2 linked regions of the Pelodiscus sinensis genome follow. The protein of the gene in region 2 interacts with the protein of the main gene of each other region in a biochemical or structural test. Links are inferred from orthologs where the notes say so. Each region holds a gene or a part of one and is shown on either strand. Other genes may lie near its edges.

The links.
Region 1: of the proteins of STAT1 (region 2) and PRKCD, one has a biochemical effect on the other in vitro, tested with the Homo sapiens proteins (2 studies listed by BioGRID). The link is inferred for Pelodiscus sinensis from reciprocal best matches to the Homo sapiens genes STAT1 and PRKCD.

The regions. Positions count from the first base shown.
Region 1 is NC_134721.1:40,004,980-40,015,790, reverse strand, and holds the start of PRKCD (protein kinase C delta type), read left to right. Parts: upstream 1-5,823; 5' UTR 5,824-5,974; intron 5,975-5,998; exon of another isoform or gene 5,999-6,129; intron 6,130-10,811.
Region 2 is NC_134717.1:67,122,626-67,132,719, reverse strand, and holds the start of STAT1 (signal transducer and activator of transcription 1-alpha/beta), read left to right. Parts: upstream 1-5,654; 5' UTR 5,655-5,863; intron 5,864-6,654; coding exon of another isoform or gene 6,655-6,694; intron 6,695-9,576; 5' UTR 9,577-9,577; coding exon 9,578-9,705; intron 9,706-10,094. Other genes in the region: uncharacterized protein LOC142830272, read right to left, coding at 6,655-6,694. UniProt on the Homo sapiens protein: Signal transducer and transcription activator that mediates cellular responses to interferons (IFNs), cytokine KITLG/SCF and other cytokines and other growth factors.

The sequences.
Region 1 (10,811 bases), on a different chromosome or scaffold from region 2:
TTTGTGGTGCTTTTTCCAAATGAATGTCAAGTCACTTCTTTCCCTTTTCTGTGTGCGCGAGTGGGGAAGCATTGCCTCTCAGAGGCATCCGGGGTGGTGGGAGAATTTCCAGGTTACTGGGTGAGGACTCGAGCCAGTTCTGAGTTGGATGGATGGATGGATGAGGAACCCCTAGATATTTAACCTGGTCCTTTCTGCTGCTGACTCCAACTGGCAGAAGGGTTACAAAAGACAGAAACAACTGTCACAGGTGCGGAGAATGAAATGCTGACTAATACAAAGAAAAACACCTTCATAAGTCAATATCAAAATTAAAACGATTAAAAAAATCATATTGCCATGGAAAGATCCCCTAAAGCCGAGTTCAGCATCCTTCAGTCTCTCAAAGGGATAAGGCAGGCAGACTTTATTAAATAAATTAATCTTGCCCATTATGTATCTAACTCTCATTACTAACCAAAAAACATGCTTCTGGAGGTAAAAAATATGAGAAACTGAAGGAAAAGTTTGTGTGCCGTAAGAGGCGGCTCCCAGGGAAGACACCAACATTCTAAAGCCAGCTGTTAAAACCATAATCAACATTCTGAACATTTCCAAAATAGAAAGACAAGATAGAAACCAATTAGTGCAGGCAGAATTCAGCCTCTCTACCTTTGCTGTTCTCATTAATGGAAATCCCCATAATTTTTATATTAGATTGTAGCAGGCTCCTCCCTCTATCACTCTCTTCCCCTGTCTCTGTGAGCAAAAGGGAAGTGAGACTAAGTGTTGCTTAGACTTGGGAAACAGATCAACAGACACTCAACCTCCAGCTGCAACATGGCTTGGTGAATAAAAGTATAATTGTAACTGCTGTTTATTTCTTTGTTGTGAATTGATGCTTGTCTATGTATCATCGTGTATCAGTAAAACACCTTTCCTTAATTTGACTTCCTGCCTTGTTCCCGTGAAACAGGTACAGCATTAGTACAACTCATGGAAGTTAATCACACAACCCCTTGGGAAAGTGCTAGGTATTGATACTCTTTTTTTATTCGGTTTCTCAACTGTGAATCTTTTGCTGTCAACTTCACTGTAGCTAAATTAATTGCTCACTTCTTTTCATCTACTTGTAAAATGGCTTGTAGTCATACCGCTTTCTACTGTGACCCTGTCAGATTTCACACACGAAGCAGCCTCAGGCAAGGTATTTTAGATGTGAGATCTCTAAAGAAAACCCAAATATTTTCAGTATTAAATCAATACCTCAGCAGGGTGGGGAGGGGCATTGTGCTACCTATGGTGCAGTCTGACAGAAGCAATATAAAAGCACAATTGTCACCACTTAAGGTGGGAAAGTCCCACAATATACTTCACAAGAGCAAAACTATTTAGCCCCAGTGTCTTGACCAAATTTCTGCTTGTATGTTTCCATTTTACCTTGCTGATTTCCCCCTGTATTCTCAGTTATATACAGCGTGCTTGACTGCTGACTCACTGTTCAATAGCTACTGGCTTTCACACCATAGCTGAATAGCCATCTGTGGTTAGCAAAATGATGTGCTTAGGTATCTATCCAGATGAGACACTATCTACTCTGTCCTCTCCATGTTCTCCTCCTACCACTTTCATCACTCCTCCAACATGTGCTTTGGAGGATCCTCCTCTTCTGCCTTTCAGGTTTTGGTGGGAGTTCCTCAGGACTCTGTTCTTGGTCTCCTTTCTAACCTGACTTGTGGGTAATCTCATAACCACAAATTCAACAATTTATGGGTCTATGTTTCCTCCAGGCCCATCTCCTGTCTGAATTAAAATTTTGGCCTGTCTCTCTGTTATCACTTTGTAGACATATTACCGTCGCCCCAAATCAACATGGCTAAAACACAGATTTTGTTCTGTCCCCAAACGTGTCCTGTTACCTCCTTTCTCAGTGACAGTAGGCAACATCACCTGTCTCTCAGTTCCATAACCTCAACATCCACTTCCACTCACACCTCTTTCGGACCCCACATCCAGGTTATGTCTAAATCTTTCTGGTTCTTTCTACGTCACATTTCTAAAACAGAGTGTTTCCCTCCCACCCGTCCATCCATCCAGCCAGCCAGCCTCTCATCCTTTTGCATCTTCATTACTTTAAAATCCTTTTCACTAGCTTTGGCAAGTGCAGTCTTGCTCTACTCACATTCACTCAGAGTGCTGTTGCAAAGATGACTTTCCTACATAAACAGGGCAGCCAGATTCCTCTGGTTTCCATCCACATAGGTTTTTTTTCCTATGGGTGTATTACTAAAGTGACACACAGGTAAAGAAAGGGTACATGCAGTAAGGTGCATACTGATTGCACATAACACTCCCTCTGCATCCAATCACAGCGCTGCTACTGTTCAAACAATATCTCCTGCAAATTCTAGGTATGCTGGCACAGTTTGCAAATTTACTCTAGGCCAGCAGATGACAATGGTGATGACAATCTTGCGGCCCATTGAGATGGAGGGTGGCCCACTCACTAGCCTAGGTTGCCCATCACTGACAATGGGATCCTGATTCACCAGTCGGGCTGCTCATGTTTCAAGCGAGAGAAGCAAACCAAAGTCATTAGGAAAAGGCAGCTGAAAACAAAACTAGAGTTTTAGAAACATTGGTGATTGGACTGGAAGGAATATCAAGTTGCTAAGGCCAAGACTCTGCTTTATCAAGCAGGAAAGAGTCTACACTGAACTCTCTATGAACCAAATGTAGGCAAACTTCCCATTGACTTTAGAGAGCTCTGACTGAGTAAAGACATGAAGATTTATATTCACAGGGACATGAAAATCTCTTCTCTTATAACCCTTGTGAAAATCTTATAGTCCAAAGCTTAAGAAGCTGTTTGTTTTAGAGAGACTTATTTTAAAGTCATGGACACTAACAGAGATAGCAATCAAGTTTTTGTGCCACCATATAACAAAATGGATTCTCCTTGTATATTTTATACTGTTTTAAACACCAAATTAATAAGAAATTATATGACATCCATTATAAAATGTTACCCATTTAGATTAAGCTCTTTGGAAGTTCTGACATCAGGAAAGCCTCATTTGGACAGATTTGAATCATGGCTCCTGAATTTATTTTCACTTTCACTTTCCATTTAATCCTTACAATTTTACTTTACAGAAAATATATCTATAAATTGCTATCATATATTCTTTATAAATTGCGTTGGAATTCTATGCGGTACTGTAACCCACACACCTAGCGTGGTTCACTGTCCCATGTAGTGGCACTTAGATCACTTACAACTAGAGATAAGAACAAGGGAATTCTATAGCCTACGCTAAGAATCCTCTGTTAGAAATGTTTCTCTCTTCCATACCAAGGATGAGACTTGTATTTCTCTGTTATCAATTGTTCTGGGCATACGTTTTATGTTTTTTTTTAACAATTATAAATAAAGGTCTAATATTATCATTGGAAATGCTGCTTTCCAGTAAAGGAAGATCAACCCCAGACTGATTCATCATCTTCATAGCCTATATTTTAAAACTGGATAAAGGGAGGGACATTGGGTAACTCCATCCAGGGGCCTAAATCCAGGCCCTCAGGAGGGCATTGTAAGACCAGGCAGGAAGACACAGCTTCTGTCCTGAGTTAACACAACTCCCTGATCCTGCAGACATTTGATGCACATGCTTAGCATCATGCACATGAATAGTCCCAATGACTGCTCCCATGCATAAAGTTAGACATGTGGAAAGTGTTTACTGCTGAGTTTTTACCATCCTTTTATAACACAACTTACATGTTAAAAGCCATTAAAAAAACCTATTTTTCCCCTTTAAAAAAACTCTGTAAACATTAGACAAGCTTTCCCAGAGGATTAAGAACATATCCCAAGCTTTAGCACAACAAAAACTTTTGCACAGATGGAAGGAATTCAAATGTACATCACCAGTGGTTGAACATCATAAGCCACCTAAAATTATTTTGGAGTCTTCTGTCCAATTTCTGGTGGATAAGTGCCCCAAACAAGAAAAACAGTGAGGTGGGGCCTTGCTGCCAAAACCCCATAATGGAGCCAGAGTTATTAAATAACTAGAGCGAACATTAAAACCACCTGTCCAGATAAAGTAAGCTCCCAAAGAGTTGCTGCATACACTAAGACTGGATGAGTTTGCTTGTCCCATACTGGAGCCTTTGCCTTTGATGCCGACCTGGAATTGAACTCCTGGATCCAGCCACCTGGTCACAGAAGAAGGCAAACATGAGGTAGGCGAGTAAAAGAGAAGGGGAAGGCAACAGTGGAGAGGAAGGGGAGGAGGGAAGGCAAAGGAAGAGAGACGAGCAAAAGAGGGAGAAGGAGCATGGGGGAAGGAGTAGGGAGGAGGAGAGAAGGGAGGACAGAGCAGCAGAAGGGGTAGGCGCTGGGAGGGAGAGAAGAGGCAGGACAGGGGAGGCAGAGAGGTGCAGGAGAGAAGGGGAAGGATGGAGAAGGAGGGTAGGGGGAGGGAAGCAAGGGGCAGGACGGAGGGAGACGGCAGGCGGGAGGGAGGGAGAGAAGGGGCAGGACAGAGGAGGGGAGCAGGGGGGGGAGGGAGAGAAGGGGCAGGATGGGGAGGGAGGGAGCAGGCGGGGGAGGGAGGGAGAGAAGGGGCAGGACGGAGGAGGGGAGCAGGGGGAGGGAGGTGGCAGGCGGAGGAGGGAGGGAGAGAAGGGGCAGGACGGAGGAGGGGAGCAGGGGGAGGGAGGCGGCAGGCGGAGGAGGGAGGGAGAGAAGGGGCAGGATGGGGAGGGAGGGAGAGAAGGGGCAGGACGGAGGAGGGGAGCAGGGGGAGGGAGGGGGGGAGGGAGGGGGAGAAGGGGCAGGACGGAGGAGGGGAGCAGGGGGAGGGAGGCGGCAGGCGGAGGAGGGAGGGAGAGAAGGGGCAGGACGGAGGAGGGGAGCAGGGGGAGGGAGGGAGGGAGGGAGGGGGAGAAGGGGCAGGACGGAGGAGGGGAGCAGGGGGAGGGAGGCGGCAGGCGGAGGAGGGAGGGAGAGAAGGGGCAGGACGGAGGAGGGGAGCGGAGGGGGGGGGAGGGAGGGGGAGCAGGGGCGGGACGGAGGAGGCGAGCAGGGGGAGGGAGGGGGAGAAGGGGCGGGACGGAGGAGGGGAGCAGGGGGAGGGAGGCGGCAGGCGGAGGAGGGAGGGAGAGAAGGGGCAGGACGGAGGAGGGGAGCAGAGGGAGGAGGGGAGGGAAGGGGAGCAGGGGCGGGACGGAGGAGGCGAGCAGGGGGAGGGAGGGGGAGCAGGGGCGGGACGGAGGAGGCGAGCAGGGGGAGGGAGGGGGAGAAGGGGCGGGACGGAGGAGGCGAGCAGGGGGAGGGAGGGGGAGAAGGGGCAGGACGGAGGAGGGGAGCAGGGGGAGGGAGGGGGAGCAGGGGCAGGATGGAGGGAGGCGGCAGGCGGGGGAGGGAGGGAGAGAAGGGGCAGGACGGAGGGAGGCGGCAGGCGGGGGGGAGGGAGGCGGCAGGCGGGGGGGGAGGGAGAGAAGGGGCACGACGGAGGGAGGCGGCAGGCGGGGGGGAGGGAGGCGGCAGGCGGGGGGGGAGGGAGAGAAGGGGCAGGACGGAGGGAGGCGGCAGGCGGGGGGGGGGAGGGAGAGAAGGGGCAGGACGGAGGGAGGCGGCAGGCGGGGGGGGGAGGGAGAGAAGGGGCAGGACGGAGGGAGGCGGCAGGCGGGGGGGGGGGGAGGGAGAGAAGGGGCAGGACGGAGGAGGGGAGCGGGGGGAGGGAGGCGGCAGGCGGGGGAGGGAGGGAGGAGAGAAGGGGCAGGACGGAGGAGGCGGCAGGCGGGGGGGGGAGGGAGAGAAGGGGCAGGACGGAGGGAGGCGGCAGGACGGAGGAGGGGGAGGGAGGCGGCAGGGCAGGACGGAGGGAGGAGAGAAGGGAGGCGACCCGGGCGAAGGAGCGAGCGGCCCGCAGGGCGGCTCTGTCCCGCGCTCTGCCGGCACAGGGGCTCCGGAGCCGGCGGGCAGGTGAGCGCCAGGCGGGGCGCAGGGCTCGGTGGCTGCCGGGGGCGGAGCGCGGGGCGGGGCGGGCAGGCGGGCCGGGCTGGGACTCGCTCGGGGAGCGCTCGGCCTGGGAGCTGCGGCAGCTCCGCGCCGTGTGCGGGGCTCGGCGCCCGGGAGAGGTGAGTGGCGGCTCCGCGGGGGGCGCGCCGGGCGGGTACCTGCGGCGGCCGGGCTGGGGATCCCCGCGACGCGCCCAGTTCCTGCCCCGCCCGCCGGCCGAAGGAGGAAGCGGCACCGGCGCTGCCGCCCCCGCCCGGCGCTGGAGTCCCGGGGCGAGCTGGGGGCCCCTGGCCGGGGTGCGCTGCGCTCGGGCTGCCTGCGCCTGGGCGCCCTCTCCAGCGGCCGCTTCACTCCCCCTGCCAGGGCGGCGGGGTGTCTGGGCTGGGCGCCGGCGTGTGAGCCGCGAGGGGAGCCCTGCCTGTCCCGCGAGCCGAGCCCGCCCCCTGGGGTGAGCCGAGGTTGCCTCTGGCATCCTTTGCCGGAGAGAGGGCTCCCCTCGGCTTCCTTGTTCTGCCCGCCTCCATATTTTGCGCCGTGACTCTGGGCAGGGGGAGGCTCCGCGACCCGAGGAGCGAGACCCGCGAGTTTTCTTGATTTCTGCCAAGTTGGCTCGGCACTTTCGTTTGCTGATTGCGGAGCCTCTTTTTCTGCCTGGCTGAACTTGCCTCTGACCCTGTTGTCTGGAGCCTTCGCTGGGGACGTGCTGAACTTTTGAGTGGGAAAGTTTGTAAATCAGCAAGCGATATTTATGAAATCGTTGACAGAATAGTTATGGGTCAGGTCAGTAAACATTGAAACAGGAAAAACTTAAACAAGTGTGTAGACGCCTATGTCAGGAAGGATGCTATCAATTGACTTTGATTCTTATCTGCTTCGTTTTAACTACCCAATCTTCAGATACTTATTCCCTCTAGCTCCTTGTCTCTCCTCCCCTCTGTCCCCCCCCCCCCCCCCACCTCCTCCTTTCCTATTTATTTTGGGTCTGAACATCCTAAACTCAAACCTCCGGTCATCTGAATAAATGGGCTGTGCCCACAAAAGCTCATGATGCCATCTACATGTTTTGTCAGTCTATAAAGTGCTACCAGACAAAGATAGCTTCCCCAATTATCACCCCCTAATATCGTTATCTCATAGACACTGACCTCCCCCCCTCACCTCACCTCTGTTCTAAAATCCGATTTGTCAGTTTTATATGTGTTCACTTTTTTGATTGTATCCCTTTGGTATATATGGTTGTGCCAATTTTCTTCCACATTTTGATCTGAGGAAGTGGGTCTGGCCCACGAAAGCTCATCACTTAATAAACCATCTTGTTAGTCTTTAAAGTGCCGCATAGTCTTTTTTTTTTTTTTTTTTTTTTTTGATTCATCAAGACCAGACTAACACGGCTACATCTCTCTTACTACCAGACCATTTGTTATTGAAATGTGTCATTATTGTTGCTGAAGTATAGTCAGCATGACAGTTGATGCCAATCAAATGGTCCTTGGAACAAATGATGACCGTAAGTCATGCAGCTTTTAGTTCCTTAGGGACTTTCAGTGATGTTTTTGTTTCAGGTACCAGGCACTAAGAGGTAAGGAGGCTGACTCTCCTCCCTGGTAGTAGTTGTATCCCTGTGTGTATGATGCCTCATTTCCTGAATGAGACTTTTTCTTCTTGTTGTGGACTTTGTCCTTAGCATATCTTGCAGTTTCACTGTAATAATAGTGCTCATTACCTCCAGGAAGTATAGGTAACCTGGACAGGGAAACTTTGCGTTCAGGGAGGAGTCATAATTTACTTTATTCAGTAGCATTCCTCAAGTTGTATGAGCTCATCTATTTATCCATAGGTCAGCTACAAGTTTGATTATAAAATAGTCTTAGTTTCTGTTGATTATGAGACACTCACACCTTCACCCACCCATAAGCAAATGGGAGCAAAGCAGAGTTTTTAATGAGCTAAGCAAATTGTAACTGTATGACATACAAGGTAATTCTTCTTGTCTTCAGACCTTATTCAAATATCTGGCACATGTGTAACCCACTGTGTGTGTGTGCATGCATGCGTTGGTTGGTTGGTTTCACAGGTCCCTTTGTTTTGATCCATGGAGAATATGAGTTATTACAGTGTCTGACTGTAGTGCCTTGGCCCTTTCATTCAAACTCATGGTGTGAGCTTTTGAGGTCGTTGGTTCAAATCCTTTCACATCAGCCAAGAGGATATGGTCACACTTGCACGTAAATCTTCAGTAGGGTACAGTTAATCTTTTCAGCCCAGAAACACATATAATCAGTTTTTGTTTCTCAAGAAACACTATTGGATATGCAGCACATTCGAATTGGAAGTGTAAGTGCTCAGCATGTCCAGCTATAAAATTCCTCACCATGTGATCAAAAATGGATCTTTTAAAAGCAGTTAGAAAACAGAGTAAACTTTAAGGAATGTACCTGTTTGATCTCCCCTTTTGATATACATGCTATATGTGTACACACATAATCACTACTATATGTGTGAGTTCAGGAAATGTCAGGATTCCCCAATGAGAATACTATATTGGAGTTTGAGCCATTACCATTCTTGAAATATAGCATTTTGTATTCATAGCTGAATTTACAGGTTGTGAAGCGTCTCTCCTAAATTACCTAGCTAGCCCAAAGAAAGTAATATTGGTTTGCACCTAGGAACTTCAAGGCCCCAAACTTCATCTAGTCTAATATACTCTCAGTTGATAGTGGGCAGTACCTGGGGAAATTATAAGAATCCCACTGAAGACAGAGGGGAGATTATCTGCAACCCATGTTGTCTCACTTTGTTAATCTCAAATAACTAAGAGTTTGGTTTAATCTGAAACATGAGGTTTAAAGTAGGGATGTAATAGTGTAGTCCGGTGTTTCCCAATTTTATTTGGCCACGGAACCCTCTTTTAAAAGAAACGGCCAGGAAAAACTGGTTGACCAAAAAAAAGGGGGTGGGGCGACTGTCAAGCAAAAAAAGAACCAAAACACCGGCTTTCCCCTAACACCACTGTGCCTGGCGGCCCCTTGAAAGTGGCAGACCCGGGAGACCGCCTGGCTCGCCCACTCCTAAGACTCTCTCGGTGGGGTGGGGGGCAGGAGGGAGGAAGTGATCGGGTTCTCACGGAACCCTTACTTTCACTTTGTGGAACCACAGGGTTCTGCAGAGCACTATTTGGGAAACACTGGTGTAGTCAATTAACAAATAAGCAAAAGTGTATAAATTAATGCTATAGAATACACGCATTCTGCCTCCTCCCCCATCACTACATTTTTTCGCAGGCTGGCTCATTTCTTCCATGCACCAGGTCCAGGATCTACCCCTGCTGCGGCTCTACATTTAAAGTGCATTAACAGCCAGACGGGCAGGTAACCCAGCTCAGTTCTGGCTCGCGCCAGGTCCAGGAGCTCAGTGCCTCCCATGGACAGGGGCTGCTACCACCCCACTCTGCTGCTTCTGAGGCAGCAGCACAAGGCGACATGCAACTAGTCTGCGAGGGAAGCTGTTTTTTAAACCGGCTCCTTTCGCAGAGCAGCTCCCACCTGACACCCTGCGCTGCTGCCTCTGCCTCGGGAGTGGGGCACAGCTGGCTGCTGGCTCTAAGCCTGGTGACTATAGAATAGTCGAGAAACCAATACGAATTGATGAGGTTACTCAACTATTCAATTAACCGATATTTAACATCCCTGTCTCTAACGAAACACTGTTAACATTTAATTTTCATAACTCTGGATATTCTAGTTATTCAGATAAATGTTCAATTTGTTTTGAAATTTAGTAGATTCTTGGCCCCCTGTGCACATTTAGGGCATGTCTACACTGCAGCCAGGGGTGAGATTTCCAGTTTGTGGGCATGCACATGCTTGCTTTAGTCTAGCTAACCTGCTAAGATAGCAGTGCAGGCATGGGCCTTTCAAGTCTGCACAATCTCCCCGCAGCTACGTATTCAGGTTGCTAGTCCTCACTGAAGGCTGCGCTGCTGCATCTTCGCTGCTATTTTAGTGAGTTGACTAGATTAAAGCTACTGTGGATATGCCTTCATGACAATTAATGCAAATCACACCTCCATTTGCAAGGAAGGCATAACCCAACTGCTTCTCTCACTCTGCATGCTAACCTACTAGTGAATGCATTCATATGTAAGGTCTGTTGTATGCAGCATCAAAAGAAACAACCAAAGAAAACAATGCCACTGAGTTTTAAAGTGACAGCAGCAACATTGTAGTTTTCATGAAATGTTCCTTAACTGCCCATCAGCTACTTCAGTAATTAAAAAATATGTTCAGCATTTCCTGTTTAGAGTAGTTCCTGAAAATATCTGTTACAAAAATGTATAATGAACTAGTATCTAATGTTCTGCCTGATACATTATCAGTTACCCGAAGCCACAATGGAAAGTCTACAAACTTTGGGACAGAGTTAAACACTGCAGATGGCAACACACTAACTTCAGAACATTATCTTCTTTTTCTGTTTCTTCTTCTTACCTCGAATCATATGTTCAAAGTAGGTCTGTTGATAAATTGCAGTTAACTCACATGATTAACTCAAAAATTTAATCACACTTAAAAGGTAATTGTGATTAATTGCACTGTTAAACAGTAGAATATCAATCGAAAGGTATTAAATATTTTGGCTGTTTTCTATATTTTCAAATGCATTGGTTTATATTAAAGCACAGTACAGTTGTCACTTTATATAATTTTTATTACAAATATCTGCACTGTAAAAATGATAATCAAAAGAAATTGTATTTTTCAATTTACTTCATACAAGTACTGTAGCGCAGTCTCTTTCT
Region 2 (10,094 bases):
GGGGTGAGGGCTGTGGGGTGAGGGGGTGAGGGCTGTGGTGCAGGGGTGTCTGAGGGATGCGGATGAGGGCTGTGGTTGGGACTCTGTGGTGAGAGGGGTTCTGGGGGGCTGGGGGAGGGGGTGAGGGCTGTGGGGTGAGGGGGCTCTGGGAGGGGGTGAGGGCTGTGGGGTGAGGGCTGTGGTGCAGGGGTGTCTGAGGGAGGGGGTGAGGGGAGTTGTGGGGGGCTGGGGGAAGGGGTGAGGGCTGTGGGGTGAAGGGGTGAGGGCTGTGGTGCAGGGGTGTCTGAGGGATAGGGGTGAGGGCTGTGGGGTGAGGGGGTGAGGGCTGTGGTGCAGGGGTGTCTGAGGGATGGGGGTGAGGGCTGTGGGGGGCTGGGGGAAAGGGGGAGGGCTGTGGTGCAGGGGTGTCTGAGGGAGGGGTGAGGGCTGTGGGGTGAAGGGGTGAGGGCTGTGGTGCGGGGTGTCTGAGGGAGGGGGGAGGGCTGTGGGGGGCTGGGGGAGGGCTGTGGTGCGGGGTGTCTGAGGGAGGGGGGTGAGGGCTGTGGGGTGAGGGAGCTCTGGGAGGGGATGAGGGCTGTGGGGTGAAGGGGTGAGGGCTGTGGTGCAGGGGTGTCTGAGGGATGGGGGGAGGGCTGTGGGGTGAGGGGGGGAGGGCTGTGGTGCAGGGGTGTCTGAGGGAGGGGGGAGGGCTGTGGGGGGCTAGGGGAGGGGGGGAGGGCTGTGGTGCGGGTTGTCTGAGGGAGGGGTGAGGGCTGTGGGGTGAAGGGGTGAGGGCTGTGGTGCGAGGTGTCTGAGGGAGGGGGGAGGGCTGTGGGGGGCTGGGGGAGGGGGTGAGGGCTGTGGTGCAGGGGTGTCTGAGGGAGGGGTGAGGGCTGTGGTGCGGGGTGTCTGAGGGAGGGGGGAGGGCTGTGGGGGGCTGGGGGAGGGGGTGAGGGCTGTGGTGCAGGGGTGTCTGAGGGAGGGGGAGGGCTGTGGTGCGGGGTGTCTGAGGGAGGGGGGAGGGCTGTGGGGGGCTGGGGGAGGGGGTGAGGGCTGTGGTGCGGGGTGTCTGAGGGAGGGGGAGGGCTGTGGTGCGGGGTGTCTGAGGGAGAGGGGAGGGCTGTGGGGGGCTGGGGGAGGGGGTGAGGGCTGTGGTGCAGGGGTGTCTGAAGGAGGGGTGAGGGCTGTGGGGGGCTGGGGGAGGGGGTGAGGGCTGTGGTGTGGGGTGTCTGAGGGAGGGGGGAGGGCTGTGGTGCGGGGTGTCTGAGGGAGGGGGAGGGCTGTGGGGGGCTGGGGGAGGGGGTGAGGGCTGTGGTGCGGGGTGTCTGAGGGAGGGGGGAGGGCTGTGGTGCGGGGTGTCTGAGGGAGGGGGGAGGGCTGTGGGGGGCTAGGGGAGGGGGTGAGGGCTGTGGTGCGGGGTGTCTGGGGGAGGGGGGAGGGCTGTGGTGCGGGGTGTCTGGGGGAGGGGGGAGGGCTGTGGTGCGGGGTGTCTGGGAGGAGGGCTGTGGGAGGGGGGAGGGCTGTGGGGGGCTGGGGGAGGGGGGAGGGCTGTGGTTGGGACTCTGTGGTGCGGGGTGTCTGAGGGAGGGGGGAGAGCTGTGGGGGGCTGGGGGAGGGGGGAGGGCTGTGGGGTGAGGGGGGGAGGGCTGTGGTGCGGGGTGTCGGGGGGGGAGGGCTGTGGGAGGCTGGGGGAGGGCTGTGGGGTGAGGGGGGGAGGGCTGTGGTGCGGGGTGTCTGGGGGGGGAGGGCTGTGGGGTGAGGGGGGGAGGGCTGTGGTGCGGGGTGTCTGAGGGAGGGGGAGGGCTGTGGTGCGGGGTGTCTGAGGGAGAGGGGAGGGCTGTGGAGGGCTGGGGGAGGGGGTGAGGGCTGTGGTACAGGGGTGTCTGAAGGAGGGGTGAGGGCTGTGGGGGGCTGGGGGAGGGGGTGAGGGCTGTGGTGCGGGGTGTCTGAGGGAGGGGGGAGGGCTGTGGTGCGGGGTGTCTGAGGGAGAGGGGAGGGCTGTGGAGGGCTGGGGGAGGGGGTGAGGGCTGTGGTACAGGGGTGTCTGAAGGAGGGGTGAGGGCTGTGGGGGGCTGGGGGAGGGGGTGAGGGCTGTGGTGTGGGGTGTCTGAGGGAGGGGGGAGGGCTGTGGTGCGGGGTGTCTGAGGGAGGGGGAGGGCTGTGGGGGGCTGGGGGAGGGGGTGAGGGCTGTGGTGCGGGGTGTCTGAGGGAGGGGGGAGGGCTGTGGTGCGGGGTGTCTGAGGGAGGGGGGAGGGCTGTGGGGGGCTGGGGGAGGGGGTGAGGGCTGTGGTGCGGGGAGTCTGGGGGAGGGGGGAGGGCTGTGGTGCGGGGTGTCTGGGAGGAGGGCTGTGGGAGGCTGGGGGAGGGGGGAGGGCTGTGGGGTGAGGGGGGGAGGGCTGTGGGAGGCTGGGGGAGGGCTGTGGGGTGAGGGGGGGAGGGCTGTGGTGCGGGGTGTCTGGGGGGGGAGGGCTGTGGTGCGGGGTGTCGGGGGGGAGGGCTGTGGGGTGAGGGGGGGAGGGCTGTGGTGCGGGGTGTCTGGGGGAGGGGGGAGGGCTGTGGTTGGGACTCTGTGGTGCGGGGTGTCTGAGGGAGGGGGGAGAGCTGTGGGGGGCTGGGGGAGGGGGGAGGGCTGTGGGGTGAGGGGGGGAGGGCTGTGGGAGGCTGGGGGAGGGCTGTGGGGTGAGGGGGGAGGGCTGTGGTGCGGGGTGTCTGGGGGGGGAGGGCTGTGGGGTGAGGGGGGGAGGGCTGTGGTGCGGGGTGTCTGGGGGAGGGGGGAGGGCTGTGGGGTGAGGGGGGAGGGCTGTGGTGCGGGGTGTCTGGGGGAGGGGGGAGGGCTGTGGGGTGAGGGGGGAGGGCTGTGGTGCGGGGTGTCTGGGGGAGGGGGGAGGGCTGTGGGGTGAGGGGGGAGGGCTGTGGTGCGGGGTGTCTGAGGGAGGGTGAGGGCTGTGGTGCGGGGTGTCTGAGGGAGGGGGAGGGCTGTGGTGCGGGGTGTCTGAGGGAGAGGGGAGGGCTGTGGAGGGCTGGGGGAGGGGGTGAGGGCTGTGGTACAGGGGTGTCTGAAGGAGGGGTGAGGGCTGTGGGGGGCTGGGGGAGGGGGTGAGGGCTGTGGTGTGGGGTGTCTGAGGGAGGGGGGAGGGCTGTGGTGCGGGGTGTCTGAGGGAGGGGGAGGGCTGTGGGGGGCTGGGGGAGGGGGTGAGGGCTGTGGTGCGGGGTGTCTGAGGGAGGGGGGAGGGCTGTGGTGCGGGGTGTCTGAGGGAGGGGGGAGGGCTGTGGGGGGCTGGGGGAGGGGGTGAGGGCTGTGGTGCGGGGAGTCTGGGGGAGGGGGGAGGGCTGTGGTGCGGGGTGTCTGGGAGGAGGGCTGTGGGAGGGGGGAGGGCTGTGGGGGGCTGGGGGAGGGGGGAGGGCTGTGGGGTGAGGGGGGGAGGGCTGTGGGAGGCTGGGGGAGGGCTGTGGGGTGAGGGGGGGAGGGCTGTGGTGCGGGGTGTCTGGGGGGGGAGGGCTGTGGTGCGGGGTGTCGGGGGGGAGGGCTGTGGGGTGAGGGGGGAGGGCTGTGGTGCGGGGTGTCTGGGGGAGGGGGGAGGGCTGTGGTTGGGACTCTGTGGTGCGGGGTGTCTGAGGGAGGGGGGAGAGCTGTGGGGGGCTGGGGGAGGGGGGAGGGCTGTGGGGTGAGGGGTGAGGGCTGTGGTGCGGGGTGTCTGGGGGGGGAGGGCTGTGGGGTGAGGGGGGGAGGGCTGTGGTGCGGGGTGTCTGGGGGAGGGGGGAGGGCTGTGGGGTGAGGGGGGAGGGCTGTGGTGCGGGGTGTCTGGGGGAGGGGGGAGGGCTGTGGGGTGAGGGGGGGAGGGCTGTGGGAGGCTGGGGGAGGGCTGTGGGGTGAGGGGGGAGGGCTGTGGTGCGGGGTGTCTGGGGGGGGAGGGCTGTGGGGTGAGGGGGGGAGGGCTGTGGTGCGGGGTGTCTGGGGGAGGGGGGAGGGCTGTGGGGTGAGGGGGGAGGGCTGTGGTGCGGGGTGTCTGGGGGAGGGGGGAGGGCTGTGGGGTGAGGGGAGAGGGCTGTGGTGCGGGGTGTCTGGGGGAGGGGGGAGGGCTGTGGGGTGAGGGGGGAGGGCTGTGGTGCGGGGTGTCTGGGGGAGGGGGGAGGGCTGTGGGGTGAGGGGGGAGGGCTGTGGTGCGGGGTGTCTGGGGGAGGGGGGAGGGCTGTGGGGTGAGGGGGGAGGGCTGTGGTGCGGGGTGTCTGGGGGAGGGGGGAGGGCTGTGGGGTGAGGGGGGAGGGCTGTGGTGCGGGGTGTCTGGGGGAGGGGGGAGGGCTGTGGGGTGAGGGGGGAGGGCTGTGGTGCGGGGTGTCTGGGGGAGGGGGGAGGGCTGTGGGGTGAGGGGGGAGGGCTGTGGTGCGGGGTGTCTGGGGGAGGGGGAGGGCTGTGGTGCGGGGTGTCGGGGGGGAGGGCTGTGGTGCGGGGTGTCTGGGGGAGGGGGGAGGGCTGTGGGGTGAGGGGGGAGGGCTGTGGTGCGGGGTGTCTGGGGGAGGGGGGAGGGCTGTGGGGTGAGGGGGGAGGGCTGTGGTGCGGGGTGTCTGGGGGAGGGGGGAGGGCTGTGGGGTGAGGGGGGAGGGCTGTGGTGCGGGGTGTCTGGGGGAGGGGGGAGGGCTGTGGGGTGAGGGGGGAGGGCTGTGGTGCGGGGTGTCTGGGGGAGGGGGGAGGGCTGTGGGGTGAGGGGGGAGGGCTGTGGTGCGGGGTGTCTGGGGGAGGGGGGAGGGCTGTGGGGTCAGGGGGCTGGGGGAGGGGGGGAGGGCTGTGGGGGGCTGGGGGAAGGGGGGAGGGCTGTGGGGTCAGGGGGCTGGGGGAGGGGGGGAGGGCTGTGGTGCGGGGTGTCTGGGGGAGGGGGGAGGGCTGTGGTGCGGGGTGTCTGGGGGAGGGGGGAGGGCTGTGGGGTCAGGGGGCTGGGGGAGGGGGGGAGGGCTGTGGGGTCAGGGGGCTGGGGGAGGGGGGGAGGGCTGTGGGGGGCTGGGGGAAGGGGGGAGGGCTGTGGGGTCAGGGGGCTGGGGGAGGGGGGGAGGGCTGTGGTGCGGGGTGTCTGAGGGAGGGGGGAGGGCTGTGGGGGGCTGGGGGAAGGGGGGAGGGCTGTGGGGTCAGGGGGCTGGGGGAGGGGGGGAGGGCTGTGGTGCGGGGTGTCTGAGGGAGGGGGGAGGGCTGTGGGGGGCTGGGGGAAGGGGGGAGGGCTGTGGGGTCAGGGGGCTGGGGGAGGGGGGGAGGGCTGTGGTGCGGGGTGTCTGAGGGAGGGGGGAGGGCTGTGGGGGGCTGGGGGAAGGGGGGAGGGCTGTGGGGTCAGGGGGCTGGGGGAGGGGGGGAGGGCTGTGGTGCGGGGTGTCTGAGGGAGGGGGGAGGGCTGTGGGGGGCTGGGGGAAGGGGGGAGGGCTGTGGGGTCAGGGGGCTGGGGGAGGGGGGGAGGGCTGTGGTGCGGGGTGTCTGAGGGAGGGGGGAGGGCTGTGGGGGGCTGGGGGAAGGGGGGAGGGCTGTGGGGTCAGGGGGCTGGGGGAGGGGGGGAGGGCTGTGGTGCGGGGTGTCTGAGGGGAGAGGGCTGTGGTGCGGGGTGTCTGAGGGGGGGAGGGCTGTGGGGGGCTGGGGGAGGGGGGAGGGCTGTGGTTGGGACTCTGTGGGGGGGGCTCTGGGAGGCAGCGCAGAGCAGCGGGAGGGTAGCGCGCTTTCAGGAACAGCCGGTGCCGCAGCGCGGATTGGCTGTGGCTGCGGCAGGCCCGCCCCGCGGCTCGGGATTGGCCCGGGGGCTGGCCGCGCAACGGGCGTTCTGTTGCCGTGTCCTCGCTCGCTTTCGGTTTGCCGGCGGCGGCGCAGCAGCGAAGCGGTGACGGCGGCCCGGAGCCTCCTCTCGCCAGTCGGGTGAGTGACCCGGCGCCGCGTCCCCGCCCTGCTGGGGCCCTGAGCGCCGGGCAGCGCTGCCCCGGGCCCTTCCTTCCGCCGGGGCCCGCCTCCCGCACAGCCACGGGCCACGCGGTAGCGGTGAGGCGGCGTGAGCCCCAGCGAGCGGGGCAGCAGCAGCTGAGTGAAGCCGGATGAGCCCCCCTTCCCCCCACCTCTGAGCTCGCCGGTCCCAGCGGGACACACTCCCGCTGGGAAGTTGACGCATCAGCTGGAAATGTTGTTCCCTTGTTGCCATTGACACGCTTCTAATTCCCCACAGACACCCCACGAATAGGCAGGCTCTGGCCAAGTCCTGGTGATGGCTGCTGGCTGCTGCGCTCCTGTAACTACAGCCTCGCTGCACTGGCTTCGCAAAGATTCCACGTGGCTGGATTCACAGTCACCGAGCCAGTGGTCCTAAGACCCAAACCCCTCCTCCAGTCAGTGGAAAAACCCTGATCCTAGGACATAGAAATGCAGAGTCACCCCCTTGCCCAGCCAGGTGTTGGGAGCAGGAGCCACACAAGAGCTGACCTGTATGGCATCCTTGCCTACCCCAGTGAGTGCTGATGTCTTAGCTCGTGTTTCTAAAAATAGGTAGGGAGATTTTAGACATGGAAAGTGACGTGTAAATGGCATCACAGATCCTACAGGAACTATGCTGACTGCCTCAGAGGGAAGCACAGAACAACCCCCCCCAAAAAGACACTGCTTTATAGGACTTGACCTTCCCACCTCTTTAATTGAATTCCCTAGATATATAGGATTACGAAACTGCAGCACCTGATTCCTCTGAGACTCAAGGTTCATTCCTATTGTAACTCTTTCCTAAATAAATACACACAGAGAGGTACAAGTTGGTCACGGTATTTTAGGACAGAATGATGAAGGAACATAGGATTAAGAAGGCAGCATGAAAAATGTAATGGAAAGATGTAAGATACGTGCACATCTTTTCAAAGTGAACGTGCAGAGTTAAGGCATGTCTGCACTAAGGATGTTAAATTGCGTTTAATGAGCTAATCAAGTAGACGATGGCTTTTAAGCCTGCTCTCCTCAGCTCCTGCTCCCTTCTTCCCCGCTGCCTCTGATAGAAGTAACAAGGGGGGGAGAAGCAACTAGTAAACTAGTGACTCAACTACCCGAGAAGCCCAGGCTTATCAGGTAGTCAACTATTCGACTAGTCGCTTACATCTCGGCTTTGTCTACACTGCCTGCAAAGCCTATGCAAATGAAGCGTGGATTAGCATTTTGCCATGCTTCGTTTGCATCATTTATTCAAGCCATTTTTACACAAGGTTTTTGCTTAAAAACAAGCAGTGTGGACTCTTCTTTTGCGCAAAACCCGTTTTGCACAAGGTCCTTATGTGAGGCATTCTTACCTACCCCAGTGGGTGCAAGGCATAAGGATATTGTGCAAAATGGGGGTTTTGCACAAAAAAATTCCATCCACACTTATTGTTTTTGCGCAAAAACCTCTTGTGCAAAACCAGTTTGAATACATTATGCAAATGAAGTGTGGCAAAATGCTAATCTGTGCTTCATTTGCATAGGCACTGCCCACAAAGCCGGCAATGTAGACGTAGCCCACTAGGGAATTATTTCGAAATAGCTCTCCGTATTTTTAAATAAAAAGACGAGCATCCACGTTACCAAGCCCCTTATTTCAAAATAAGTGGAAGTTATTATTTTGAAATAATAACTTCCACTTGTGAAGTGGAATAGTGCTGTTTTGAAATAGTTATTTCAGGAGTTATTTCAAAATAACTTCCCAGTGTAGATGTGCCCTTAGAGAAATCACTTTCAGAGGGACTTAGGAAACTAATAAGTAACTTTAAAATCCAAGTCAGACGGGACCATTGTAATCATCTGATCTTGCAGTATAAACTTCAGAGTTTTGCTAAGTAATTCTTGCCATGACCTCCATAATTTCTGGTTGAAGTACAGCAGTGTCTTTCCTGTGTTTTTTTTTTCCCAGTACATATTAAAACACAGAATTAATTTAGGCTGGTCAGGGTGCTTTTACTGTTATTACACAAAGCATGTTAAACAAACATCTGTCAGGGAAAACTTAAATATTTAGTCCTGCTGTGCAGGCTAGATTAGAAGACCTCTCAAAGTCTCTTTCAGTTCTGTGATTCTATTAAGAATCACTGAGCTAGAGCAGTGTTTCTTAACCATTTTTATAAAGTACCCCTTTAAAAAAAAAAAAAAAAAAAAAAAATCCCCAGTACCTAGTTTTCAGACATACAAATTTTTTTTCTACCATTGGAACACATTTATTTAAACGAGTTAATCGTAGCCAAGAGGGCGATTACATTTTTGGGTGTAAAAAGTACAAAAATAATAAAGTGCTGTAAAACTTAAAACAAAAATTCAGTTTTCTTCAAATTTTAGTTGTGTTGACGTATCCCCCAGACTTCTCTTTGAAAGACTAAATTATGGATCCGCTACATCTGTAGGTAACGTCTTCTAGTGATTAACTGTTCTCAATGCTAAAAATTTGCTCAGTTTGCTCTCAATGTTAAAAACCTTATTTCTAGCCTGAATTTGTCTTGCTTCAGCTTCCTGACCCAGTTATGTCTTTGCTAAATTGAAGAGCCTTCTAATATGAGAAATCTCTCCCCCACATAGATATAGGTTGGACCTCCCTGGTCCAGCATACTCGGGACTTGCATGGTCCCAGGCAAGGGAGTTTGCCTGACCAGGGGCACTCAGGCTAGCTGCTTACTGTGCTGCAATGTGCTGCCAGTTCCCAGATGGGCTGCGCTATGCTGCCAACGCCCAGCGGGGCTGTGAATTCTGGACCAGAGAAGTTCAACCTGTACTTACAGAGGTGATCTTGGATAAGATAAACAGATTGAGCTTCTTTAGTTTCTGACAGACACAGGCTTTCCAGATCTCAGATCATTCTTACAGCTCTTTCTGAACCTTTTTCAATTTAACTTTTTAAAAATTCTGGACATAGAAACTGGACACAGTTCTGCAATAGTTTCACTGATTTCCTGGGCAGAGGCAGTACCACTTACGTACTGCTTTTCAAGATGCCCCTTGTACATCACAGGGTCACATTTGCTGCAATGCATTGCCCTGCAAGGTCATATTTGGTTAGTTATCTACCAAGACACCTCAGTCCTTTTCAGATTTGGACATTTCTGAAAATGGACATATGTGCCTTTGAAAATATTAGCCAGCATCTGAGCAATCCAAATGCAATTTAAAATAATCTCCCCCTACTGTCTGCTCTCCAACAGTGTAGGTCTTCACTTTCTGTTTCTTTATTTTAGGACTTGTCTTCATGGCCAAGGTAGGCTACTATTCAATTTAGCAAAACTCATTAGGGCTGCTAACACACATTCTACTTTGCATCAAGCCCTTAATCAGAGATGACTGGGAAAGGATGGTTATTCCCATTGTTAGTTACATTGCCAATTTTCTTGACATTTTTGGGAATTTCAGGAAACTTGAGAACCAAACATTTCTCTCTTTTTTGACAAAAACCTGAAGATTTTCTATGCAAATAGTTCCCTCTCCCCAAAATTTAGTTTTTTTAAATAATCATTTTCTATCAAAAGTGATTAGATGGGAAATTTTCAGCTTACTTCTTAAATATCTTATGTTGGGATTTAGGTGTGACTAAGATTTAGATGTGACTAAGATTTTATTAAATTCTATGCATCTTGATTCCACAGAATGACTCAGTGGTACCAGTTGCAGCAGCTTGATTCCAAATTCTTGGAACAAGTACATCAGCTGTATGATGACAGCTTTCCTATGGAAATCAGACAGTATCTGGCACAATGGCTGGAAAATCAAGACTGGTGAGAGCGAAGTGCTGTAATGTATATTGGAGTTTGTTGTTGCATTATTTAGCCAGTGATGCCTGTGAAAGATATGATACTAGCTTCTGACCTTGTGTGAAGGTAGATGGCTTTCACTGACAAAACACCATGCGTGCTTATCTAAGAACCTCTGCTGTATGATGAAAACAAGCATCCACTTAGGGCAGCAAACTGTTCAGTAAGTTTTTGTGAGGGTGACAACTGGGAGGTAGGAACAGAGGAGCCTATGTGCTGCTAGTCACTGTTTCCCATTGCACTTACCAGTCTGGGTGATGCTTACTGGTTAATGGTTAACTGGTGCCTTATGCTGCTGGCAGCTGGGGCTGGTGTGGCTGGAGCTGGAAGCGCGCAGAGCCAGCTCCAGCCCC